7 linked regions of the Sus scrofa genome follow. The protein of the gene in region 1 interacts with the protein of each later gene in a pairwise test. Links are inferred from orthologs where the notes say so. Each region holds a gene or a part of one and is shown in the gene's direction. Other genes may lie near its edges.

The links.
Region 2: the proteins of CREB3L1 (region 1) and SLC35B4 interact in binary tests that used the Homo sapiens proteins (3 or more experiments, as listed by UniProt). The two-hybrid records come from large-scale screens. The link is inferred for Sus scrofa from reciprocal best matches to the Homo sapiens genes CREB3L1 and SLC35B4.
Region 3: the proteins of CREB3L1 (region 1) and PRKAB2 interact in binary tests that used the Homo sapiens proteins (3 or more experiments, as listed by UniProt). The link is inferred for Sus scrofa from reciprocal best matches to the Homo sapiens genes CREB3L1 and PRKAB2.
Region 4: the proteins of CREB3L1 (region 1) and FXYD6 interact in binary tests that used the Homo sapiens proteins (3 or more experiments, as listed by UniProt). The two-hybrid records come from large-scale screens. The link is inferred for Sus scrofa from reciprocal best matches to the Homo sapiens genes CREB3L1 and FXYD6.
Region 5: the proteins of CREB3L1 (region 1) and TMEM218 interact in binary tests that used the Homo sapiens proteins (3 or more experiments, as listed by UniProt). The link is inferred for Sus scrofa from reciprocal best matches to the Homo sapiens genes CREB3L1 and TMEM218.
Region 6: the proteins of CREB3L1 (region 1) and FXYD3 interact in binary tests that used the Homo sapiens proteins (3 or more experiments, as listed by UniProt). The two-hybrid records come from large-scale screens. The link is inferred for Sus scrofa from reciprocal best matches to the Homo sapiens genes CREB3L1 and FXYD3.
Region 7: the proteins of CREB3L1 (region 1) and TMEM11 interact in binary tests that used the Homo sapiens proteins (3 or more experiments, as listed by UniProt). The two-hybrid records come from large-scale screens. The link is inferred for Sus scrofa from reciprocal best matches to the Homo sapiens genes CREB3L1 and TMEM11.

Annotation. Positions count from the first base shown.
Region 1 is NC_010444.4:16,185,706-16,189,948, reverse strand, and holds the end of CREB3L1 (cyclic AMP-responsive element-binding protein 3-like protein 1), read left to right. Parts: intron 1-2,574; coding exon 2,575-2,842; intron 2,843-3,016; coding exon 3,017-3,053; 3' UTR 3,054-3,743; downstream 3,744-4,243.
Region 2 is NC_010460.4:14,904,322-14,907,821, forward strand, and holds part of SLC35B4 (UDP-xylose and UDP-N-acetylglucosamine transporter), read left to right. Parts: intron 1-357; coding exon 358-467; intron 468-1,764; coding exon 1,765-1,840; intron 1,841-3,500. UniProt on the Homo sapiens protein: Antiporter that transports nucleotide sugars across the endoplasmic reticulum (ER) membrane in exchange for another nucleotide sugar.
Region 3 is NC_010446.5:100,377,357-100,381,343, forward strand, and holds the start of PRKAB2 (5'-AMP-activated protein kinase subunit beta-2), read left to right. Parts: upstream 1-1,187; 5' UTR 1,188-1,213; coding exon 1,214-1,369; intron 1,370-3,987. UniProt on the Homo sapiens protein: Non-catalytic subunit of AMP-activated protein kinase (AMPK), an energy sensor protein kinase that plays a key role in regulating cellular energy metabolism.
Region 4 is NC_010451.4:45,215,450-45,219,697, reverse strand, and holds the start of FXYD6 (FXYD domain-containing ion transport regulator 6), read left to right. Parts: upstream 1-1,448; 5' UTR 1,449-1,952; intron 1,953-2,185; exon of another isoform or gene 2,186-2,359; intron 2,360-4,248. UniProt on the Homo sapiens protein: Associates with and regulates the activity of the sodium/potassium-transporting ATPase (NKA) which catalyzes the hydrolysis of ATP coupled with the exchange of Na(+) and K(+) ions across the plasma membrane.
Region 5 is NC_010451.4:52,275,267-52,278,766, reverse strand, and holds part of TMEM218 (transmembrane protein 218), read left to right. Parts: intron 1-341; coding exon 342-476; 3' UTR 477-3,500. UniProt on the Homo sapiens protein: May be involved in ciliary biogenesis or function.
Region 6 is NC_010448.4:44,646,405-44,650,570, forward strand, and holds the start of FXYD3 (FXYD domain-containing ion transport regulator 3), read left to right. Parts: upstream 1-1,366; 5' UTR 1,367-1,519; intron 1,520-4,166. UniProt on the Homo sapiens protein: Associates with and regulates the activity of the sodium/potassium-transporting ATPase (NKA) which transports Na(+) out of the cell and K(+) into the cell.
Region 7 is NC_010454.4:61,350,302-61,352,861, reverse strand, and holds the end of TMEM11 (transmembrane protein 11, mitochondrial), read left to right. Parts: intron 1-1,279; coding exon 1,280-1,796; 3' UTR 1,797-2,060; downstream 2,061-2,560. UniProt on the Homo sapiens protein: Plays a role in mitochondrial morphogenesis.

The DNA of each region.
Region 1 (4,243 bases):
GGTCAGTCGCTGCAGTGGCTCATGATTCAGTCCGCGTAGAGGCGGGTGGCAAGTGCCCATCTCCAGGTCACAGGGTGCCCTCCCCACAAACGGCCCCAATTTATGGGCAGAATCCGGACACATAGAGGAGCAAGGCTTGGGGTTGGCATCCTCTCATTCTGCCTCCTCATTTTGTAGCTGGGGAGACTGAGACCCCCAGAGGGCCTATGATTTGTTCAATGTTATTATAGAATTAGGACTACAATGCATAGCCCACAATTCCCAGCATTGGCGGGAGGTGGGGAAGGTAGGTTTAGGGAATAACAGGAATGATCCCACCCTAGACCCACGTACTGTGGTGCTGTGGGGCATCTGCTAAGCATCATCAGTATTTCACGACCATAGTAGCAATTGAGTGGTGGTGGCTGCCTGAAGCACTGTGTTAAGAAGGACTCTGAGGCACTGTTCAGGATCAACAGAATGGACTGCCAGGATCCACTGGTAATTCTATCATGGGCAATGGTGGGGTAGCAGTGATGTGGGCTCAGGTATTTACCATGCCACCAGGGATTGTCAGGTACAGTGGTTAAGAGCATGGAGCTTCAGGAGTTCCCTGGTGGCTCAACAGGTTAAGGATCCAACGTTGTCACTGCTGTGGCTGGGGTTCCATCCCTGGCCCCGGAATTTCTGCATGCTGGGGGCATGCCTCGCCCCCCAGAAAAGAGCATGGAGCTTCAGAGTCAGTCATGTCTACCGCTTGCTAACTGTGTGACCTCAGGCATGTGTCTTAAGCATGCTGAGCTTTCGTTTCTTTACCCGGAAGGTGGGAGTTACAAGTTCCACACTTCCTGAGCATGGTTGTTATGAAGACTAAATGACACAGCACATGTAGGCTCTGAGCACAGTGCCTGGTACACAGCAGGCGCTTCCTAAATGAGCACACTCCCTCCCTTTTGGATGCGCTCCCAAGGGGAGAGAAAAGATACAAGGGCAGAACTGCAAAGGCCAAGCAAAAAGTAGTATGGAGTTCCAGAGGCAGAGGCTACTTCAGATAGACCCACAAAGGAACTTCCGGAGGGTCCCTCCTCATCTACCAGGAGGGAGTTATCTAGCGGGACAGGAGGAGGAAGAGGAAACAGATGGGAGGTCAGAGAGAGATGCTGAGGAGGAGCGAGTTTCAAGAAGGAGGGATACCGAGCTGCGCCTGCTGGGCCTTGAGGGGAGGAAGCGGTGTGGGCAGGGTTAGAGGAAGAGGAAGCGGAGGTGGGGAGTGAACACCACTCCCTGGACCAGTGCAGCCTGAGCAGGAGACAAGAGGACAGTTGCTAAGGGAGGCAGGCGGCAGGGAGGTAAGGGCTGGAGCGCCACGTGTCCATTTTTCCAAGGCCGGAGAGGCCTGTGTGTGTTGGGAAGTAGAGAGAACCTTGGAGAAGAAGGAATGGAAATTGGGGGTTGGGGGAAGCACTGATGGACAAAATCAGAGTCAGAGGAGCCCCTCGGGGTGACCCTGGTGAATGCAGGGGGGTTCAAACCCAATGTCCAAACCCAATGGCAAAGAGGGGGACACGTCTGTGGGAAGAAATGACGTTTGGAGCAGGCTGGCTTGCAGAGCAGGGACACTGCATGGTTCCAGGGCCTGTCACTGACTGTGAGGCCGGGGTCCTGAGAATGACAGGAGCCAGGCAGGCCTGGGTTTGCATCTCGCCTCCAGAGTGGGACAACGTCCCTGACAACCTGGAGCCTCGGTTGCCTATTCTTGACATGGAGGTAAATTTATTATCTGCTTCTAAGGGTTTCTATGAGATGTTAATGATTCGGTCTAGACTAAAGGATGCCTGCACTGCGTGGTAGGTAACGGATATCCAACAAATGTGTGTTCTTGCTTTTCATTTCTCTGAAGGGCAAACGAGGGCCTAGAATGGGGAAAAGGCTTCTTTTGGTTTGGTTTGGTTTTTGTCTATTTAGGGCGCCACCCATGGCATATGGACGTTCCCAGGCTAGAGGTTGAACCGGAGCTACAGCTGCCAGCGTACACCACAGCCACAGCAACGTGGGATTTGAGCTGCGGTCGCAGACACTCATGGCAATGCTGGATCATTAACCCACTGAGCGAGGCCAGGGATCAAACCCTCATCCACATGGATACTAGTCATGTTAGTTACTGCTGAGCCACAATAGGGAATCTATAGAATGAGGAAAAGATTGATTCACGGTCTCACAGAAAATGAGTGGGTACAATAGGATCAGAACCAGCTCTCAGATCCCCAGCACAGTGCTTGCCCTCTGCTCAGGAAGAGCTGCCTTTCTCTGAGTACAGTTTCAATTGCGCTGCCTCTATTATCTCATTTAAACCTCACATGACATGAGGTTGGCCCTCGTGTTCCTGTTTTACAGATGAGCAAACTGAGGCTCAGAAGGGTGAAAGCAAAGGCGTGAGTTGCCTGCAGTCAGGCAGTTCAACAGTGTAAGAGCTTGGGTTCAGATCCAGGCCTGCAAGATTCTGGGGCCTGTGTCCTTAACTACTAGGCCCAGAATGGGGTCCGGATGGGGAGGGAGCCTCCTGGCACCGTGGCTCATTCTGAGCTCCTTCTTCAGTGCCCTCCCGAAGCCTCCTGTTCTACGACGAGGGGGCAGGCTCGTGGGAGGATGGTCGCAGCGCCCTGCTGCCTGTGGAGCCCCCCGACGGCTGGGAGATCAAGCCCGGGGGGCCGGCGGAGCAGCGCCCCCAGGACCACCTGCAGCATGACCACCTGGACAGCACCCACGAGACCAGCAAGTACCTGAGTGAGGCCTGGCCAAAGGATGTCGCCGGAAACAGCACCAGTCCTGACTTCTCCCACCCGAAGGAGTGGTTCCACGAGAGGTGGGTGGGTGGGCTCTTCCCTTCCTGGGGTCCCAGGCTCCACCTGCACCCCCCCCCGGTCCCCACGTCATTGGCCACATCCTTCCTAGCCACCATCCCTCCCACGTCCAGATCCACCCTGCAGAGGGGCTAGACAGTCACCCCTAACTTCTCTCCTCTCCCTTCTCCCTCCAGGGATCTGGAGCCCAACACCACCATCCAACTCTCCTAGGCTGTGCCAAGACCCAGGACACAGGACGGCCCCCCGGCACCCGGAAGGGGGTTGTCCTGCTCACTCACCCGGATCCGGCTCGCACCCCTGCCCCCTGGGGTCCCGTCCCAGGAGGAAGGGTTCCACTCCTCCCCAGCCCATCTTTGCCCCGGATCTCACCTGGGGCCTCTCCTCTCTCCCCGCCCACATTTGGACTATTCCCTTGGGCCAACCACTCTGCTCTCACCCTTCGCTCCCACAGCCATCCGTCCTCAGATAAACCACTCTCTGGGTTCCCCCCTCCCTTCTCATAATGACCAACAGGACCACTGCTCCCCTGCCCCCCCCACCCCACCCCCACAGACACGTCAACAGACCCACACACACCCCCTCCCCCCCACTGTACAGACCAAGAACAGAAATTGTTTGTAAATAATGAACCTTATTTTTTATTATTGCCAGTCCCTAAGATATTGTATTTTACAAATCTCCCTCCTCCCTTCCCCCTCCCCTTGTTTGATATTTTATGAAGTTAGTGCGGGCTTTGCTGCTCCCTGGCCGGGGAAAGAGGGTCACCCCCCCCTCACCTGGCCTCCCCCTGCCGCTGCCCAAGCTGCTGGGCCTTTTTAATTGCCAAACCGCTTCACCCTTCCGCTCAGCACATGCTTTAAGAAGGCAAAAGTAAAAAAAAAAAAAAAGATGCAGCATCAATTCCTGACTTTGTGCCTTTCTTCATGGTTGGGCAGTGGGTGTGGGACTGAGGGATAAAGGAAAGTTCATTTTATGGTCTGAGGGGGGCGACTGGGGCAAGGAGGTTGAGAAAGCACTTGTATTGGGCGCCCTCTTCCAGGCAGGTGCAGAATTCAAACCAGGTGGTCAAAGAATTCTGTTGCAACCCCCCTCTAAGGCTCCCAAGTACCCACTGTTGCTGGCTATAGACGCAGAAAGGCATGTAAGCCACCGGGAGGCCTTTAACGGTAGGAACTAGGCTTAGTGCGGGCCAGGCGCTGCGCCAGGCACTTGACATGCAGTACCCTGGGTGGTCCTTCTAAGACCTGCCAGTTTCTTAGTTCTGTGTCCTTTGCCTTAGCTGAATTAAAGGCACAGACTTCAGGAGTTCCTGCTGTGGCACAGCAGTAATGCACCCCACTAGTATCCATGAGGATGAAGGTTCAATCCCTGGCCTCATTCAGTGGGTTAAGGATCTGGCA
Region 2 (3,500 bases), on another chromosome or scaffold:
ATATGGCCTATCCGTATGACAGAATAATATGCAGCCATTAAATCATACTTTTGAAAAAATTTTAAATTAATGAATTAAAGGGAAATCCAGGAAAAAGATCATGAAGAAAGCAAGATACTCAATTATATATTCATTACGACCCTGTCTTAGCATAAAATATATACATAGGTTTATGTAGAGAGATATAGCAGACTATTTAGGACTGGATGGTAATATTGTGGTTGCTTTTTATATCTTTGTAAATTTTGTATGTGCTCCACATTTAGTTTGTAATATTCGTAGAGCTTAATGTTCTTTAAGAAAAGATCTGGAACTTAGCAAATGCAGGCATCTCGTAACCCAGTGTTTGCTTTTCAGGTATTGGGGCACTGACTTTTGCTCTTCTGATGTCAGCAAGGATGGGTATTTTCCAAGAGACTCTCTACAGACAGTTCGGGAAGCACTCCAAGGAGGCTTTGTTTTATAACGTAAGTCATTTCTTGAACCCAGGGAAGATGAAAATGACTGAATTGGTGTTATCGTCATACGTTATTCCAGATATGATAGGCCGTCCTTCTGATGTAGTCACAGGATCAATTTATTAGCCAGTAAAATGGGACCCACGGACTTTGGCACTTTTAATAGGCTGCCCCCCTTCTCTACTACACGGGGTGAGCATCATCAGTCAGTGTGAACAGAACGTGTCTGCCAACTAGGAGAGAGCCCCAAGGGCCAAGAAACCCAGTGCTCTTCGGAGGAAAGCAGGTTAAAAGCAATATGGGAACCTGGAAGGGGAATAGAACTTCCAGAAACCACATGCCAAGGAGAATATGTGCAGGGAAGCATTTGGGAGAGTTGGAGAGAGAGGGGCCTGAGGAGAAGTCCCTCAGAGGGGCTTTGTTCCCTTGATGGAGTTTAATTAGCTAATTATATACACTTAGGCTTCTTGTTTGAAACTGCTGATCTGAGCCACCTCCTGTAACTTTCCTCTTTCTCCTCCCTCTTTCCTCTGGAGCTCAGGCCCAAGTCCCTCCCCTCTGTGTCACATGGATAGAGCTGCCTCCACCTTCAGTAACCGCAGGGATCCCTTCCCTTTTTGTGTGGAAGTTGCTTACAAGCAATTTGAGACATTTAATTGGAGCTAGAGTGTATGGCCGGGGAATTTAAAGAATAAAAGTATTCTGTTGGGCTCTCGTAGCACAGTACTTGGCACCTGATTAACTGCTTGGTTAATGTTTACTGTAGGGATTCCTTCTTCTCTTGGTGGTGGTGGTGGGGGGTGGTTGTCAGACGCCTTCATCTTTGCTTACTTATTGTTTCCCCTTCCTTGTCAATCTCTCTTTATTATTGTCCTCCTATCTCTTTTTCCCACTAGTTTCCTCAACTCTAAAATCTGCTTTCACATTTCATCTAGCTTTTAAATCCCTTATATTTGCTTAAGCAGTCTCCAAAATGGTAAAATGTAGCAAATCCTTTGGGCAGAATGTATTTCAATTTCCATTCCCTTTTTATTGAGGAAAGGATCCTGGCTCTATTTTGTTTGTTTGTTTTGTATGTAGTGACCATCAGATTCCATAGGGCCAGAACCCTAATTTGGGGGTTGAGAGGATGCTGTACAATGTCAAGGGGTCAGAAGGCCTGGATGCATTTAACTTAATAAGTCTGACGTGGTTTTCTTGATACTGCTTGTTAAATAGCTTGTAAAACTTTCAGTCATTGTAAAGGTACTCTAATTATTCTGTAATGCTTTTGCCTTTAAATTTACATGAAATGTTTCTTCCCTAGCATGCCCTTCCACTTCCTGGTTTCATCTTCTTGGCTTCTGATATTTATGACCATGCAGTTCTATTCAATAAATCTGGTGAGTTTGGGATTATCCAGTGGAATTACTTGACAGTTTTGGAAGCAGTGTGTCTCAGTTTTACTCTTGGCTTGACCACTTCTTTTTTCATGATCGTATCCAAATCATCCCCTGAAACCATCCCCATTCCACCTTCCAGAAATATAGTACCATTGATTGGTAATTGCTGCCGCAAAAGCTTTTACAGGCACTTCTCAGTTATTCGCAAATGAAGACAGATGGTGTCTTCAAATTTTTGATTTTGCTTTGGAATATGTGTGTGTACATTTGAATGTGGAATGTTTGATAATCCTGAAAATGCAGATAAACAGTAATAACTCTGCAGAGACTGGAGCCATGAGAATTTTGGCAATAGTGCAGGCTCTCTCAACTCCTGTTCATCCTTCTCGGCTGGGAAAGGCAGATCTGCTCCCAGATCCAGGCTGAGCTACCCCCATGCAAGGAGGAGCAAAAATGATACAGGTCTTTTTCCTAGTTACAGAGTAGATAGCAGGAATAAGCAAAATGAGTTTAAATGTCTGTGGTATAAGTTAGCTATTACTTTTTTTAAATTTTTTTATTACTCAAATGAATTTATCACATCTGTAGTTGTATAATGATCATAACAATCTGATTTCACAGGATTTCCACCCCACAGCCCAAGCACATCCCCCCACCCCCCAGCTATTACTTTTTAAAGTGGCTATTTAACAAATTATCTATTAATTGCTAGTTAAATTGAAATAAAAAAAGAATTATTGATACAGTCCGATGGTGTACTAAAAGACATAGCGTGTCATACATACAAATAAATACACAAGGAACAAATAAACATTTTTTTAAATTAAGGCTTTATGTTGCTTAGACCTAAAATGGTAAGTGTATTTTGTAGAATGACAGTAGTTTCTCAGTAAACATTTGTTTGCTATCTGGTCATGAGTTACGAAGTTGTGACTGTTCTCTGAGTTTGCAAAGTTGCCCCTTCCATTTTGCCTGCCAAAAAGTGTGTGGGGAAGGTCATGTGTAAGAAAGTTTTTAAGGCTCTGAATTACTCAGTCATTTCTGACGTGTTTTAATTGAGATATAATTGACGTATAGCTGATTTGTGACACAGTGGTTTTTCAGGTCTGCTAGAGTCCCCATAGAGCAAAGGGCTTTGAAATAAACGCATTATCAAGTTCCTTGGGATTGATCATTTAGTTACCAAAATTCGCCTTCTGAAAATCACAGGGAAGGGTATTTATATAAATTATTTTTTAGAATCTGCCTTCAACTTCTTTAGAATTGTCCCTGTTAAGTCTGTGTGTTTTTGTTGGTGTTGCTTGTCCTGGATTGTGCCTCAGGCGGACCTGTTAGCCTTTAATTTTCTAAGAGAACTAAACGTCCGTCTGAGTACTTTAAGCCCTGTTGATTGTCTTTCCCCAGCAGAGTGGGAAATACAGTGGATCTCGGAAGTTACTGAATCACAATAACATTCGTTAACTTTCTTTTCAAGTCAGTACTTGCTGCGTGTTTCCAAGACAATAGAATACCACTAATCCAGATATATAATTAGAACAAATTATCTTTTATTTATATATATGACCTTTTTTGCTGAAGAAAATTAATATTCATTTACTAACCAGATCTCAACATCACTTTGTTAGACTTCCTTCAGTTATGCTGTATAATCAACCCCCCC
Region 3 (3,987 bases), on another chromosome or scaffold:
CAAGCTCCCAGGTGACGCCCATGCTGCTCCTCACTAGAACACAGGCTGAGTGACAAGAGCTTCCAGTAGGTCATGAAACATGCGTGCGTCTAATAACACAAAGGAAGAATGAGTAAATCCCATAGCAATCTCATTAACTATCACTCAAAACGTGAATGAGTCACAACCTGAGGCCTGTCGCTGCCCGTTTCTGCCTTAATGTTCTTTCTGATGTTTCCATTCTTTCTTGAATTTCATTTCTTCAGGGGTTGCTCATACCAAGTGCTGTTTCTTAGCCTTGCAGGGCTTTCTCCTTCTCCTTAGACGAAGTTTAACCATTTGTCAAGATTTATCTCCTCATCACTCCTCCTTCCCCGCGGCTCCAGTCCAGCTGACTGCTTCCCACAGCACTTAGCAATTACCACTACTTCCTCAGCCTTCTGTTGGAAGCCCGCTTTCTTGATTCCTGTAGAAACCCACCTCTCAGGGAAGCCCCCCAGAAAGACAACATAAGAAAGAAAGGCAAAGTCGCTCCTCTGGGTACGGAGCCCTGGAGTCACTCGGGGACCACCCCCTCCGGAGGGCAGGCCCTGGGGCTCAACCAACCGAGTCTCAGCACAGCCTCGCCAGTGAAGCGATCTCAGCCCTGCGTGCCGCGGACTGCGGAGCGGGCGCCCCCGCGTGGCCCTGGAGGCTGCGCGCCGCTGCCCACCATCGAGCCGGCGGTGGCTAGAGAGGCCGGCGGGCCCCGGGCGCCGCGGTGGTACGGCCACAGGGAGTGCGCGCTAGGCGGGCACCGCGCCGCTGGCCTCGTGGCCATTTTAGGAGGAACCGCGGCTCGCTAGCCCCGGGCGCGGCTTCAATTTCAATAACTTTATTGGTGGCTTCTCAGCGGAACAGCCATCGCACCATTGGCCTCGGGAGGAGGGAGAATTTACAGGAGGTGACTGGGCGGGGGCGGGCGCCCCTGGACTGTGAGCGCAGGGATGAGGGGGAGTTCCCGAAAGCGAGTTTCCTGAGCCGCCGGCAACCAGGGGGTTTGGGGGTTCCGGGCGCTTCTGGAGGCCGGGGAGGGGGAGGTTGTCCCCCGGGCACGGCCTCCCTGGGGCGGGGATTCCCTTGCCCGGGTCCCCAGGCACAGGGGCGGGGCCGGGGGTGCTCCTGACGCAGCCGCCGGGGTGTTCCTAGCCTTGTGTTCCGCACGGCAGGTGGCCCCCGACTCCGAGCTGCAGCCATGGGAAACACCGCCAGCGAGCGGGTGGCCGGGGAGCGCCACGGCGCCAAGGCTGCTCGCGCTGACGGCGCGGGCGGCCATGCCCCGGGCAAGGAGCATAAGATCATGGTGGGGAGCACCGACGACCCCAGCCTCTTCAGCCTGCCCGACTCCAAGGTGAGCGCTCCCACGCCCCCAGCGGGGGGCGAGGCTGCAGCAGGGTGGGTGTCGGGGCTCCTCCTCCGTTTGGGGATTTCTTTCTTATCACACTGACCTGAGTTATGGTTTTGGGAACTAAAGGCTCTCTCGGGGACTGCGATGTTGAATGATCATTCCTTTCGCCGCGCTGCCTCAAAATAGCCCGGAGGTGGAGTTCTTGTTAGGCGACTCCTCTGCTGGCCGCATTTTCGGATGAGGACAACAGACCTAACTCTTGGTTCTCCCAACAGACACGGGTACCCTTTGCTAGGGTATCGATGAATTTGTAGGTTGTGGGCCTTGGGGAGGGTGGATTACCTGAGGGCCACATTTAGGTGGCCGTTTCTCTCATCTGCCCTGAGGTGGGCAAATGAATTTCTGTTTCCTGACAGCTTCTCTGTCTGAGTATCATCTTTGCTCTTCTGAGAGCTCAGCATTTCAGATCCCTTTTCCCCTTTGGCATGGCTGTGAGTGGCAACCACGTGCTTATTTGAATAATTTCTCCTAGTGGGGGTCAACAAAGGACATCATTTGGTGGACTGCTCATTTTCATCTCATACTTTATAGTTATGGTGGCTGAGCTGCTTCTTTCTTCCAGCCGCTACTCAAGAGCCAGAGCAGGTTAATTCCAGAATTTCTCCACTTCCCAGTAGTACTTCATCATGTTACCACCGCTGAAAACGAACAATCCACAGCAGCCTTGAAGACCTTGTTCTCAATTCCAAGGACTTGTTTCAGGGAGGAGAAAACTTGTATTCACCCCACAAAAAGCAAAGTTGGAGCTGACAGCAATGTGATTACCACCTGAATGTTTCTAATCCCTTTTAGAGCTGCTGGCATTAAATACATTAATTCCTCCAGGTAGAATAAAATGAAGTAGAAAAACAGATTGAGCAGCTGGGGGGTCTGTTTGATGTTTCTTGTCACTTATCCCTTCCTACCAGTGTGGGGTTTTATTTTATTTACTTTCCTAAAGAGAGAATAATTTGCCAGGTTGATAGCGTGGGAAATATGGATTCTCCAGTTTATTTTTTCAAGTACCAACTGAGAACATAATCACAAAAAGAAGTGAAGATGTTTTCTCGGTGTTTCTCCTCCATTCCTTTCTTTTCCCACTTCGGGACTTCTTTCTCAACATTTGGGCTGTCTCTTCAGCCATCTGAACTTCTTCAAAATTCTTCAAAGCTTTCTTTCAAAGCTTTGTACCCACTTCCCTACATTGATGACTCAGGATCTAAGTAATGTATTATTTGTCAAATGGTGACTGCAGTAACTGGCATCCTGAATAAAAGCAGGTTGCTCTATTTGAAATGGAGTCTATTTGGATCATTCTTTCCCTTACCTCAGTCTTGCTATTCATGAAATAAGAAAATGGATTCAGATAATTCTTAAAGTCTCTTCAGAATCTAAGATTTTATACTCAATGTGCTCTCTTTATTTCTTCCCTAAATGTTTCACTTAAACATTTTTCAATTGTAGTTGTAATTATTTTGCCACTTTTCCTGAAGATTTTGCTGACTATTGAACTTGGAGTAAACAATCTTTCTGCTAGTCAGCTGCACTCATGCCTGCCACAGAAATGTCACGTTATCCGTGGAAGGGCTTTCTTCCAAAGCTAAGCATATTAATAGTTTGTAGCTTTCAAATTCTAAACTGAAAATACTAAATCATACAAGTAAATGATAGAAACAGTGGCAGTGGGGCCATCCTCTTCAGTGGACTAGTTACTGGTTCTCAATTAGAATAGGCTGGAATTTGTTTAAACACTTCATGGAAAATTTGAAACACTGTCCATGTTTCAAAGCAGGGAGAACAGTGTGATGAACTCCTGTATAGTTGTCATCCAGTTTAAACAATGATCAAATCATGAATGAATTTGTACCACCTATATACCCCCATCCACTCTACCCTCACCAATTATTTTGAAGCAAATTCCAGACTATCATATCAAATATTACTTTATTAGTATTTTAGGATACATTTCTAGAGATGAGGTTTCTTTATTTTTAACATAATCACAGTGTTATTGTCTGGAAAGCTTTTTAAGAATAGACTCCCAGACCCTATATTTGAATCAGAATCTGAGGCATTTGTAATTCTTAGGCATATGTAAAAATTTCTCTAATTCTAATGCAGCCTGTCAAGCAAGAACTCATTGCTTTGAGAAAATGGAGATCAAGATTTTTTAGGAGCTCCCGTCATGGTTCAGTGGTTAACGAATCTGACTAGGAACCATGAGGTTGCAGGTTCGATCCCTGGCCTTGCTCAGTGGGTTAGGATCTGGTGTTGCTGTGACCTGTGGTGTAGGTCAAAGATGCGGCTCAGATCCCACGTTGCTGTGGCTGTGGTGTAGGCCGGTGGCTACAGCTCTGATCAGACCCTTAGTCTGGGAACCTCCAAATGCTGCGGGTGGGGCCCTAGAAAAGACAAAAAAAAAAAAAAAAAAAAAAATTCTCTAAGCCATTTCCTTATATAACGTGGAAGTCCCTTCTTTTTCTCTGTTTACTTTGGATTTATGCTGCTACTGGTGTCTCGTAGTGTAGTTTTGAGGAATATGGAGAGACAGTACAGAAGGTAGACTACCTCTGCCATTTTTA
Region 4 (4,248 bases), on another chromosome or scaffold:
AATGTCCTGCTGTATAGAACAGGGGATAACATTCAATTTCCTGTAATATACTACAATGGAAAAGGATCTAAAAAAGAATATATAAGTATGTGTGTGTATAGATGTATGTGTATAACCGAATCACTTTGCTGTACACCAGCAACTAACACATCATTGTAAATCGACTATGCTTTGATTAAAAAAAAAGAAGGAGGACAAGGGGGAGGAAGAGGGGAAGTAGTGGAAAAAGGGGAAGAAGAAGAAAAGACAAAGGGCAAAAGATACGTATTACTGTGTCTTAGTATTTTTCCTCAGTATTCTGGGATGCCTTCTTAAATTAAATATTTTTTACTATTTAAAAATATTTAAGAATATTTAATATTCTGTTCCCATCTCCTTGGCCAGAACTGGGTCATATGGATGCTCCTAGTCGCTGGGAAATCTGAACACAATGATTTCTCTGTAAGGATGCGGTTGATTCTTGTATTGATTTTTGCTGTGTGACAATGATTTCTCTGTAAGGATGCGGGTTCGATCCCTGGCCTGGCTCAGTGGGTTAAGGATCTAGCGTTGGGCATGTGTTACAATAATTCAAGCACCTAGGGCTTGATCTTGGAAGCAGGCTCTGGCTTACCTAGTCATCTCCTTTATTCACAAAGGAGAAAACTGAAGGCCAGGGCTGAGTCTCTTCCTGGCAGTACCCACGGTCCCAGGGTTCGGGGTCAGTGTGGAAGTACCTGCAGCCCCTCTCAGGCTTGGACAGTTACAGCCTTGCTCAGGAACCCCACACCCCTCATCCTACTGGTCTCCATCGCGGCTCAGGCTAGAAGCCTCACTGCCGACAGCAGGGCTTCCTGGCTACAACAGAGGGGCCAGCCCTTGCCGTGTCCATGTCCGTGCTTTCTGCCAGTGCCTGGCCCAGGGCCCTTCCTACAGGCCCCGCTCCCGCCGCTCGCTCAGTAGAGATGCCTGCTTACCCAGCACTCCCTCTGAGCGCAGGGCTCAGCCTCCCGGTGGGGTGGGGGCTGGTCAGTGTTCTCACATCCCTTTCACAAGGGAGGAAACTGAGGCTTAAGAGCTTCGCTCCATGATGTGCTCAAGGTCACATCACAGGTAGAGACACACAGCTAGCATTTAAATCTTCTAATTCAGTTTGTCGCCTGGAATTTGGAGCTGCGGAGGGGACTGGGGAGGGGGAGGTACTGTGAGCCGGCAGGGACAGGATGAGGGGCCCTGAAAAGGGGGATCTGGGCAGCGAATCTGTGGTTCCGGCGAGCCCCCGCCCCCAGCACCCCTCCTGGCTCTCGCTGAAAATGACAACTCCAACCAGAACCGCCTCGCGCCCACGACACAGCCATTCGTGCCTTAGGTGCACTTCCCCGTTAATTGCCAGGCCTCCCAATTAACGTGGGTTGCTGTGTCTGGTGCTGGGTTATTTTCTCGTATTTTTCTGTTCCCCCCAGTTTACTATCTGGGAGAGGCACTAGCTCTGCCACCGTGTTTGTCTCGCTCCCTCCCCACCCTCAGCCGAGGAAAAGCACGGAGCAACAGCTGGCGGCGGGTGCGCGCCGGGGCTGGCCCGCCCCCTCGCCGACGCTCTCCTGTTGCTTCCCGGAGCCCGCCCGCCCTTTGAAAAAGAATCCCTCCCGCACCCGGGAGCCGCGGCAGCGCGCTCGGAGCGGCGGGCGACGGGCAGCACGGCGACGGGGAGAGGGTCCGCGTGCAAACGCTCCCCGGAGGCCAGCGGACGGTGACACCGCGGTCGCCGGAGCCCAGCTGGGACGAGACCCCGCCCACCAGTCCCCACCCCTGCAGGACGCGCCACTCCAGCCCGTCCAGCCCTTCCTGGGAGGGGAGGCGGAAAAAAGGGAAAGCCTCGCCCATCGCCCTGCCCCCAGCCCCGCCACTCCCAGGCTCCTCCGGACTCGGCACGTCCTCCTGGGATTGTCTCCGGAGGGGACCGCGCTGTGCAGGTAAGCGGCTGCAAAGGTGCCAAAGTTGGGTTCTTCCGAGGAGGGAGAGAGGCTGGGTGGGGACGGGTCGTAGGGCGCCGGCATGCTGCTAGGTTTTGTTTGTTTCGGTGGGTGTGAGCGGTCCTCCCGGGGCCGCTGCCGCTTGGGCGGCGGAAACCGGGTGGTGGATGGAGACCAGGAGGTGGGCGTCGGAAGAGAAGAGGGGCGGAGGGGAGGCAGGCGGTGTCGGTGGGGACGAAGCTGTACTGGAAAGGCACTTGCTGCTGCCTGGAGCTTGTGGCACTGGTTTTGGGAGAAGGGGAAAGAGCTGTTCCCCTCTACATCCAGGGGGAGTTTTCCCTTTGTTACTTGGAAGCTCTGGACACTTGAGTGGAGTGTGCAGATGTGAAGACGGAAGGTGGCTGGCTGTGAGTGTGAACACAGGAGCCATGCAAAATGGGCTCGGAGCTTTGGGGGGACAAGGGGAGCTGGGGCTGGGCAGTAGGCACAAGCGAGGGCGGGGGCGGCAGGTAAAGAAGGGCTGAAATTCCAGGGCGCGGGATTGATGAGAGTGTTTGCATCAATTTTCTTCTCCCCTTGTCTAACCAGCCCCAGCTTCTTCCAGGGGGCCCTGTCCCCTCCTCTCCTTTCCTAGTGCCCAGCCCTCTTTCCCCAGCGGTGCTGCCCCTGGCAGAGCCTTTCCCATTGTGTCTCTTGGGCGTCAGTGCAGAGATGGAAGGGCAGCCTGGGGCTCCAGGCACTTGCTTCTGGGCTCTTACAAGTGGTGGCTGGTAGAGGAAGCTCCCCAGGGTGGGAGCAGGGAGCAGCCACGGTGCAGAAATGGGCCTGGCCAGGCCCCTGCTGCCCACCTCCGGACTCAGGGGCCTGTGGCTGTTGGGGCTTCTCCCCATGAACGTGGCCTCTGTCTCCACTTCCTTTGTCTCCTTGGCGTAGGGCGCCCCCCAGATTTCCAGGTTTGGAGATGGATCAGTGGGCAGCCCCTGTCCTCTGTGGAAGGACCCCTCCCACTCTGGGGGCCCAGCGCCCTCATTTTTTATATGTGTGGATGTGTTTCCGCAACTTGGCCTTTTTCACGTGACCTGCCCGGTAGTTGCCATGGAAACTCCAATTCTCAGCCTCCCTCCTTTTCCTGCCCATGCTTCACCTCCATATCCCCTCCCCTCCCCCCAACATGGTTGCCTAGATACTGGTTATCCCCGACCTCACTGGGTAGGAGACCCTGAGGAGCTAGCTCCCACCTCAAACTGATGTGGCCCCCACCCACTCCAGCTGCCCCCCCATACACAGCACACGTCACAAACACACCTCAAATATGTACACACTTGCCACACCATGCACATACTCACACACACACCGCAATCCTATTTGCCACACACACTACACAAACACACTACACAACACATGTATCGACCACATATATACCACATACACACCTAATACGCCATACATACACCACACCACAACACACCACCCACAATGCTAAGTGTCCACCCTACCATTGCACTGTGTGTGCTTTCACAGACACCCACAATGTCATATACCATTGCTTCCTCCAACACACACACACACACACACACACACACACACACACACACACACACACACACGAGTACTTCTGAAGAGGCCTCCAGCTGAAAGAGAGAGGGCAGTTTCCTGCCTTATCTAGCTCTGTGCCCAGGTGCCTGTAGGGGAGACTCAGAAGGCCAGGAGGAAACATCTCCCCAGGAACCTCCCAGAGGAAGATGGAGAGAAATTCCAGATTCTCTCAGAGGGCGCCTCTCCTAGGTGCTAGATGTAAGAGCCTGGGCATGGACCAGATTTTAAATCTCTCCACAGCTGCTTTCTACCTGCCTTGACCCAAGAAAGCCTGAGGCTCCTGGCCCAGCCCAGGGGTCTTAGCTCTGCCCCTAGATCTTCCTGCTTATAACAGAGTGTCAGGCAGCTCCGGGACCAGCCGGAGGCTCTGAGCCTCCGCTAGGGACTGCCAGGAGAGCAGGGGAGACAGGGAGAGGAGACAAAGCCTGGTGGGGGCTGGGAGGAGAGGGAAGCCAGAAGGAGCATGAAAGAGAGGGGCCAGGTGAGTTTAGAAAGTGTAGGTATGGTGATGGGCAGGAAGAGGGCCAGGCTAGCCTGTCTCTCCCAGGCGTGCTTTCTTCATTTCTCCTTGGCTTCATCTGTGTGTCTAGGAGAGGAAGCGGGTTTGCAAAGGGCTCCTGGATGCCCAGAGCTTTTCCATGATCTGTAGCCTCTCTAGGGGTCTGGTGGCAGACACTGGAGGCCAGGGTCTCCTTCCTGG
Region 5 (3,500 bases), on another chromosome or scaffold:
TCTCCCTAATGAAAAGTTAACAACAACCAAATGAGCCTTCCCAGGACCAAGCAAGCAAGCTTCTCATGGACTCTTTCAGATAACTGATTTCAGAACATAAAAGAACTCGTCCAGGGTCTTCAGAGTATTTATGAACCTCCTACATCAAGCCATTTGTTCCCTGTACTTCCAGCTCAGAACCATGAGAAAATGGTTCTTTCCTATCCATTTACAGAGTAGACTTGGGTCAGGATGTCACTGGAAGTTACAAACATGGACTGCCCATTCATCAAAGTTCCAAATGAGCCATGGCCAGGGAGCAGAAGTGATCATAATTTCATTTTTGATGTTTCCCTCTCCAGATCGTTGATACCTTTTTCATTGGCCGCTATGTCCTGCTGGCTTTCCTCACTGCTGTCTTCTTGGGGAGCCTCTTCTTGGTTCTAGTCCATCACATCCTGGAGCCAGTCTATGCCAAACCACTTCGGTCCTACTGAGCAACACTCAAGAAGACCAAGACCTTTCCTCCCCTCGCTTTGATATCATCAGTGAGCAGAAAGGTACTGTTGGAACGTTGTCTTGACAGCATTCATGCTTAAGATCAGAGGAACATCTATTCATCACTCAGACAAACCCCTTGAGTCCTGGCTTCCAGAAACATGGTTGCAGAATTGTCCCTGGGATCCTAGGAGAAATATTGCTGTCTTCTTAACACCTGCACTTCAGGTTTTCCATCTCTTTTGAGAGGGAAATGGCAACAGTGTCTGCTTAGATTTCAATCAGGCCATCAGCATGTGGATTTTGGGAAAAGGAGCACTTTGGTTTCTGCTGTCCAATAGAAGAACCTGGTCCTTTTTGATAATATGTAAAATTCTTAGTTAAAAGGTCAAGATCACTTGGAAAAGAAAGGCATTCAAAGTTGAAAAGTTCATTTTAAAGGGATGACCTGGGAACACATCCAGGTGCTGGATATGGAGCTCTCTGTGCAGACCATGCCTCAGGGCTCTGCAAAGGCCATGTGTCACCTCTCACTGTTCCAGGAAAGCCATCAACAGTGGCCGAAGGACTGCTTTTCACCTCAGACTCCTGGCCGCAGCTTTCTGAATTTAGCATTTCGAGTTTACTTGGGGATTAGAAGCAGGGTGTGGAAATGTCCCTTGTCTGTCCTACTGCTCTGTCTCTCTGGATTCTTTTTTTCCTAGGATTGAGTGACCTTTGTTGCCTTATTTAGTTACCATAACAGTCCATTCTGGGTTATTGTCATCTCTTTCATCGTTGTAGCTCTTTCTCCAAAGCCAGTGAGGAATGTATATTCCCGGGATTAGGCATAACTTTATACCTAAACCCCAGACCAAGTGAAATCTGTCATTAAACAGAGGGGCTCTCGGCTGCTTCCACTTTGGAAGTCTCATTGTGGCTCCCTAGAGCTATTTGAAAAAGGAGATTCTGGCTTAAAATTAAGAACCAGAAAACAATTGGAAAAAGAATTTTGATTGAGTACATGGTATATGCCAGTAGTACACTAGTCTGGGTTTGTTTGTTTGGTTGGTTGTTGTTGTTGTTTTTTACACAGATGTAGATGACGGACTTCCATGTTAAGGGCAAAAACGTACTTTGTACAAAGTGTATTTTAGCTCGGCCTGCCTTCTGTAGCTCCTGTAACTACCAGCAGTGGTGAACTGAATACTAGATCAATTTCTACCTTCATACTCAAAACAGTCATGTCCAACCCTGGGGGAAAAAAAAGCAAACCCACAGAGTTGGGATAAGAATAAAAGGCTGGGAGGGCACAAAGTTAATTTTACTGAGTTCTGCATGGGGCACCCTGATAATCAATAGATAATATTGGCACCCTTTTGTTCATGGCCTTCCTGGAGGTAGAGCTTAAATACAAATAGATCGTCTCAGTTTCCATTCATTGGTCTTTGATCAATGCCCCTAGAGCTAGTTGTGCTCCCCAGAAGGGATCCTGTGGCAAAGAGATGTAGTGATCCCACAGGGGAAGGGAGAGTAAATCTGGGCCTCCATATAAGAAAACAGGTAGGAGTTCCTGTCATGGCTCAGTGGAAGCGAATCTGACTAGCATCCATGAGGATGCATGTTCGATCCCAGGCCTTACTCAGTGGGTTAAGGATCTGGCACTGTGGTGAGCTGTGGTATAGGTCGGCAGCTGTAGTTCCAATTCAACACCTAGCCTGGGACCTTCCATATGCTGCCCTTAAAAAAAAAAAAGAACGAACGAAAGAAAGAAAACAGGTAATTTCATTGCCTCTTAAAATTGTATCCTGACAAAACCAAATCAGCAAGGCGCCACCCCCACCACGGAGACATTCGTCTGATCCGCTAGGTGGCGCTGTGCTGCATTTTAGAAGGCCCTCGGGCCAGCCAAACAACGCTAGGTTCTTTTTTAACAAGTTCCTTCTAGCTCTCATAAAATAGAAGTAAAGCTAACGTTCTTTACTGATGCACGATATCGGACATCTAAAAATTCTCCAAAGTTTTTGTACAATGTTCAGTTACTAGGGAATGCACTGCCCGTCCTCCACGTGCATAGAGCAGGCATTACCATTCATTCCGCCTTTACTGTGTTTACTCTGGATGTGAAGCCTCGTCCTGGTGCTGTAAATCACCCCAAGAAGGAGGCTCTGAGGCTCCTAGGCTGTTTCCCTCACTCCATCCTGGGATGAAAATGTTTTTAATTCTAACATAATCCATTTCTTGTTCTGTTCTCTAAGACATAAACTTTTCTATCAACTGTGTCTCTTGCTGCTGCTGCAGTTGAAACAGTTTTATTTTGCTCTGATTTTTATTTGTGTGTAAAGAAACCTGCTGCAGTTATTTCGTAGATGAGAAACAGGCAGAGAGATAAAGAGATTTTAAAAGTTTCACAGCTAGTTAGGTAGTGGGGCTCAAATTTGACAATGGGATCTTGTCACCTCATTTCTCAGGTAGTTTAAAGAGCAGTTTTGGCTTTCAAACAACTCCTTAGTTTTACATTGGGTAATACTATTTCTTAGCTATTTGCACCCACCATTCCCCTGACCCATATCCAAAAAAAGACAAAAGTTTCATGAAAGAATTCCTCATTAACATTTATAGTACAGATAACATTTTATCATAACTTCTTGGCTTAAACCTTTAAGTATTTGGCTTTATTACATAGGAGCAAGGTTCCAGAGCGGGGAATGGGAATTGCATAGAAGAGAATCTGAGGAAATGCTGATTATCTTCTCAGGAGCATAAAAGCTCAGGGTTGGAGGGCATTTTATAGTCCATGGAGTTCAATCTTTAGTCTCTATTTCCATCCCAATACTTCAGAATATCCTATTCTTTACATGCTGAAATCACAATTTTTTTTTTTTTTTTTTTTTTTTTGTCTTTTTGTTGTTGTTGTTGTTGCTATTTCTTGGGCCGCTCCCGCGGCATATGGAGGTTCCCAGGCTAGGGGTCGAATCGGAGCTGTAGCCACCAGCCTACGCCAGAGCCACAGCAACGCGGGATCCGAGCCGCGTCTGCAACCT
Region 6 (4,166 bases), on another chromosome or scaffold:
AGATGCTACCTGCCCAGACACAAAGACCCCCTTCGGTTGGACTGGGCTCCTCAACCACCAGGCTTCCTTGTCTCTGTTTCTATCTCCCTCTGAACCTCCTGCTGTGACTGGGCCCCACCCTGAGCACCCTCCTCTTAGGGACTGGCAGGCCCCTCCTTAATGGGGATTGGGGGAGCCATTGTTCCCTTCTAGGCCCGGGATTGAGAAGTTGCCCCAGGGATTCACATAAAGAAAGCTGTATCTGGATGAATGTTCTTTACCCTCCAACCCATCCCTCCGGCTCTGAAGTGGGGGGTCCTTTTTCTCCACCCCCAGCAGACCGCCCCCAGCAGAGCCTTGACCTCGAAACTGCCTTTCCCTGCCCTACACCCCACACTCCCCTTAGAACCCTCTCTCTGGCCTGGCTCCTGCAGGCCCCCTCCCCACCCCCGCGATGGTGTCGGGGGTCGCCTGGAGTCCAGCTGGTGGCCATGCACAGCCACCCCTTTCCTGGCCCTGCCCCTCCCCATGACCCCGATCCTCCGCCAGCCACTCAAAGGCGCCTTGTTCTCCATCCAGCCCCCAGACAAAAGTCCCTCTGTCTAAAAAACGCAGAATTGGGGGGAGGGGGCACCCCAACGGGGACCAAGTGGGGGCCTGTACAGACCCCATCCGGAAGGAAGGAATGCCGCAAGGAGGAGGGGCAGGAGAGGGAGGAGGGCAGGGAGGGGAGCCTGCAGAGTGCAATGGCCTTATCTGGGTAAGGGGCAGCCCCTGCGCCCACTCCCGTGGTGTAGACATCCAGCTCCTGGCACCCTTAGGAAGAGCCCAGGCTGGGAAAGTCTGCCTGGTGCTGAGAACCAGTTCCCAGTCTCTCTAGGCCACGACGGGCACAATGGGGAAGAGGTCATGGTCTGAGGCCCAATAGCCACCCCCCACCCCCTCACCCAATCCCCCACTACACCCCGCCCCCACCTCATGACCTTGGTCCTATCAGCTTCCGCTGACCCTCAAACTGTGTCAACGGGAACGAGTGGCCCAGAAGAGGACTTTAGATCCCCCACGATGGCCACCAATCCTTCCTCCAAGGACAACACACCATCTAAGTAAAAGAAATTAGGTTATGACACCAAGGCATGGCCTTCCCCACTGCTGCTCCCTGTGAAAGACCGGAGCCTCTCCTCCTCCAGGCCTTCTTCTGAGGGGTGGGAGATGGGAGAAAGCCCCCGCCCCAGATGGGAGAGGCAGAGTTACAGCCTTCATCCTATTCTCCTTCTGCCTCACCTAAGCTGCTGTGACCTTGGAGACACGAAGATGCTCCCTCCCACTGGTGGTGGTGGTGGTGGTGATGGGGGACTGTCTCTTTAAGAGCAGGCTCCGGGCGAGAGCGCCCCTGAGCTTCAGGAGTCTGACTAGTTCTCTACCTGCCCAGGTTTGCTTAGGGCGTGGCAGCTACGGATAAAGGCAGGAGTTGGCTTAGCAGCCCCAGCCCGCTCTCTCCTGGAACCTGGAACCTCTGTGCAGCCCCAGGAACACGCAGGTGAGGGGGTCCCCTCCCTCCACCCCCTTCTTGGCTCTGCCCGCAAACTATCCCTGCCCCTCCCTCTAGTGCTCCCTGTTAATGACTCCTAGTGCCTTCCCCCTTCGAGGTCTTTTTCTGGGGGTGTTGACCAGAGAAAGCCCCCCCTCCCCATCATTCTCTTCTTAGGGGGCTGGGTGAAGCCGCTGGGATGAGGGTACGGCCCCAGATGGGACTGGGGTGTCTGGGAGACTGGTGGGTCTGGGTAGATCGTTGTTTCTGAGTAAAGAGAAGTGTCTGGGTTGGGGATCCGAGTGGATGGGTAGGTGACTTCATGGACTTGGGTTGTCTAGGGACTGGGGACAGGAGGACCCTCTAGGAAAAGGGTCTGGTGGCTTCCTGGGGGAGCTGCATAATGGGGAGGTGGGGAGATTTCAGGGACACGAGGGAGGCATTTTGCTCACACCGGAAGGGCCTGGCCCCCATCATGGGAGAGAAGCAGTAGGGCTGGATGTGAAAACAGTGCTTACACCAGAGTTGAGGACTCAGGTAAGAGCAGGGGTGGGGGGCATAGCCTCCATCTGCAGGCTGCCTTCCTCTCCAAGCCTTCACGCCACCTGCAGTCAGTTCCGGAGCAGCCTGGGGGCCTTCCTAGACAGGGAAGGGGAGAGCAGGTGTCCAGACACCAGCTCCCAGCAGCCCGCACCAACGGACAGTCGTGTGGAAATTGGGGGGGGGGGCAGCTGAGACCATCCATCAGTGCTCCCTGTGCTGGGGATGCTGGGAAATGCCTGGGGATGGGGTGCCTGGAGCCCTCATGGGCCAGGGGGCTTGGAGACTCTCATAGAAAGAGGCTTAAGTGCTGGGACTCAGAGCTCCAGGTGGCAGCATTAAGCTGGATTCATAGCGTTTACAGGCTTGCGACGTGAGCTAATCACAGAGCCAACCCCATCAAGCTGCGAAGATTATATGTGTGAATAAGTGAGAAGAGCCGAGAACAGAGCCCAGCGTGGGGCAACACTCAATCGCCACCAGCTCTTATTACTGGTATTAGTGTTATCGCGGGGTGACAAAGCCACACGTGTTCCCTTGTGACCACAAGTGGTCCTTCTATGGACCTGCGCTGGGAACCGCTAGGCTGTCCTGCCCACACACCCACTCCAGCTCTCCCCCCCCGCCCCCAGTTCTGGGGGGGTTCCTGAACACCTTACTAGTGTTCCCCAAAGCTACGCGCCCTCTTCCTGCAGGGAATGGATGCTCAAACTAAAGTCGTGAGGCTGGAATGTGGGATGAACTGGGAAGCTAAGAGGATTCCCTGGATCTGGGGTGGGCACAGGGAGATGGAAGGGTCTGTGAGAATGTGCTGGAAACAGAGACATGCAGGGTGGGGGCTCCATAGAGGCTAGAGAGAGAGTGAAACGGGACCCTTTCTCCGGCTGCAGACAGGAGACAGAGCTGGGAAGGTCAAAGGGCTTTTCACCAGGCTTAGGGAGGATATATGTTTTGTTGTGGTGGTTGTTTTCTTGTTTGGCTGCCCTTCGGCTCATGGAGCTCCCAGGCCAGAGATCAGATCCAAGCCACAGTTTCGGCCTTGGCCGCAGCGGAGGCAACGCGGGATCTTAAACCCACTGCACCCACGACCCACTGGATCGTCCCAGTGCTGCAGAGACGCCACCAGTCCCCGTAGCACCACAGCGGGAACTCCAGGGAGGGTATATGTTTTGTCCTCTGTGAAATGGGCCCTATAACCGATGACCTCTGGGATTCTTGGAGGATTACATGAACGAAAACTGGCAAGACCATCTGGCAGTGCCCAGCACAGGGTGGATCTAAGTGTTAGCTCTTGCTATCAAGACTGGGACAACAAACGCTGTGGCAGCGGGGCGGGGCCAGGGGACGCATAGATACCGGAGCAGGACAGGGACAGCAGAGTGTTCTTCAAGCTGGGCAGGCCGACCTGGGGAGGGAGGAAGTGTTTGCAGCCAGAGGAGTTTATAGGGGCAGGGGCTGGGTGGGGGGCAGTGATGGGTGGGGGGAGGGCAGAAGCGGGACAGTGGGGTTCAGGGGGAGAGTGGGACAGAAGGTGAAGCTGAGGCTGCTCCCAGGCCTGCCCTCCACCTCCCTCCCCTGCCCCCACCGAGTTCTCTCCTCCCCACATCCTGCCCTGAGCAGCCAGAGGAGCCAGCTCAGTGCCCAGCCCTGGCCCAGTCGAGGCCTGCAAATTCTGGGCAGGGCGGGCAGGCTCCGAGCTGTCTGGGGGAGACACTCCCGGAACCAGGCCTCCTGCCACCTGGCTCCCGGCACCCCATTTCCCAAACCATCCTGAGGCCCTGAGAGAGGTCGCAGTTGGGAACAGCCTCCACAGAGCAAGATCTGGTTTAAATTCCACTTCCCAGGAGTTCCCATCATGGCTCAGTGGTTAACGAATCTGACTAGGAACCATGAGTTTGGGGTTGATCCCTGGCCTTGCTCAGTGGGTTAAGGATCTGGTGTCGCCCTGAGCTGTGGTGTAGGTTGCAGATGCGGCTCAGATTCCGCGTTGCTGTGGCCCTGGCCATAGGCTGGCGGCTATAGCTCCGATTAGACCCCTAGCCTGGGAACCTCCATATGCCACAGGTGTGGCCCTAGAAAAGGCAAAAAGACCAAAAAAAAAAAAAAAAAAAAAAAT
Region 7 (2,560 bases), on another chromosome or scaffold:
AAGCCCTGCCTCCTGGCCTTGCTTATTTGCTTGCAGGGGAGCTTCTACTGCTGAACCCCACCTGGGAGCCACGACAGGAAGGCGCACTCAGTGGCGGCTCTCCTGCCACCAGTCCTTTTCCCCTGGCGTTTGCCTGGCAGCCCCGTCTCTGCCCCCTGCACACGGAACTGCCCTCTTCAGTAAAGGAGATGCTGAACGGAGAGGGTCTGGGCGGGCCTGTTGCAGTCGTGGGGCCCTCGGGGCTGCTGTCCTGCAGTCTGGGCCCTCGGCGCTGTGCTTCTTGCTGCTGGGGGGCACCCTTCAGAGCCCCAGGTTGAGGGGCGTGGACCCGGGGGCACAGTGACCACCAGGAGCCAGGTCGGGGGACTAGGGGCTACTGAAGGGAAGGCAGGTGACAAGGTGGCTTCGCAGGGCCTGGTGACGTGATGCAGAGGGAGCCACCCGTCCAGCTGGGAGAGGCCGGGGTAAAGAAGCCTTCTTGCGAGATGAGCAGTGAAGACCAAACTGGGGGAACCGGCTGTGCTGGGGGGCAGCGTGGAGGGTCTGGATGGGCGGGGACGAGCCAGAGGGTGACAGGCGCTGGGTCCTGCGTCCGGCGTGGGAGGTCCCGCTTGAGGCCTCCCGCGGGCTTGGGCTCTGTCTGCTGGTGAGCGTCACGTCCCCGGCAGGCCGGGTCGCTGCATGGGCTGCTTCCGTGGGTGAGACGCCTTCAGTGGCCATAGGTAGAGTCCTGGGCCCACAGGGTCAGAGCGGCAGGAACACGAGGCCCCTGGACCCTCATCCCAGCGCCCAAGGCCGAGGCACTGAGTGGGGCGCTCCCGGCCAGGTGGCCCTTGGGGGGGCTTTGGCGTTGCCGCCCCAGGAGGACCCGGGCAGCTTGCTCTCCGTCCACCACGGCCGGACCCGTGAAGGTGGGCCGTGCGGGCTCAGTGGCCCTGGTGGGCTGAGGGCACGGCGCACCTGCCGTCACAGGCCTCTGTCCCCGCGTCGTGGGCCCGAGGCCCCCTCTCCCTGGGGCTTTGCTGACTCACGGGTCTGACCCTGCGTTGCCTTAACTGCCAGGCCGCCCCCGTCGTCGGCCGCCATCCTCACAGATGTTGTCGCAGGAGCCCCAGGGCCCCTTGCTGTGTCTCTCGTGGGCCACGGCTTGCTTCTTCGGCCCCATCTGCAGGGCGGGAAGGGGGCGGCCCGGGGAGCCGTGCGCGCCCTCCGGAGCTCGGCGGGGCCCCCCCAGCTGGCGCCCCGCTCACGGCTCCTTTCTCCCGCCCCCCCCCCGCAGGCTGAGCTTGGCGGCCACGGACTGTTACATCGTGCACGAGATCTACAGCGGGGAGAACGCGCAGGACCAGTTTGAGTGCGAGCTGGAGCAGGCCCTGGAGGCCCAGTACAAGTACATCGTGATCGAGCCCACGCGCATCGGCGACGAGACGGCCCGCTGGATCACCGTGGGCAACTGCCTGCACAAGACCACCGTGCTGGCGGGCACCGCCTGCCTCTTCACGCCGCTGGCGCTGCCCCTGGATTACTCGCACTACGTCTCCCTGCCCGCGGGCGTGCTGAGCCTGGCCTGCTGCACCCTCTACGGCATCTCCTGGCAGTTCGACCCCTGCTGCAAGTACCAGGTGGAGTACGACGCCTACAAACTGTCGCGCCTGCCCCTGCACACGCTCACCTCCTCCACGCCGGTGGTGCTGGTCCGCAAGGACGACCTGCACAGGAAGAGACTGCACAACACGATAGCGCTGGCGGCCCTGGTGTACTGTGTCAAGAAGGTGTACGAGCTCTGCGCCGTGTGAGCCGGGAGGCGGCCGGCCTCACGCTTGTCCGCTGAACGGAAGGACACATCACCGGGGCCCCGGGGCGCTCGGCTCAGCCCACGAAGACGTGGGTCCCGCGACCCCGGGGTCGGCGGTGCGGGTTTCCGACGGGGCGGCAGGATGTGGTGGGAGCAGCGCTGCGGGGGGGCGACCGCGCTCGGGGGTCCTTGAGAACATCCGGTAACTGTACCACCCAGAGCCAGCCGGAGCTGTTGACCATTAAAGTGATGAGAATTTCCCCTCCGCCCGGTGTCTCTCTCCGTGACGGCCCTGGTGGGCGTGGGCAGCACGGGTGTCAGCCCTGGCGACGGGCAGGCCCAGACCCTCCGTGCTGCTCAGGGACCTGGCGGGACAGGTGGGCGGCACGGCCGGGCGGCCGCCTGCAGAGCTGGGGCTGGGTCGTGTCCAGGGATCTGACGCGGGAGGAGCCGGGAACCACCTCCACACCTTGAAAGCACTGAGGCCGTCCCGATGGGGGCCCGGGCCCAGGGGAGCCCCACGCTCCCCGCTTACCTTCCCCCGAAGAGGCGGGGCCCTGGCCCTGCAGCCTCTCGAGACCTCTGCCAGGCGCCTCGAAGGGCAACCAGACTGACTTTCTGCTCGTTTTAAAGGCGCCTCAGGAAGGTCCCATCCCAGAGAGTAACGGAGGGGGGCCGGGGGCCACTTTCTGGGGGAAGAGCCAGGGCTTGTGAGAGTTGGAGAGACCTTGACCCGATTGCGAGGGGCCTGGAAGTGCTGATCCC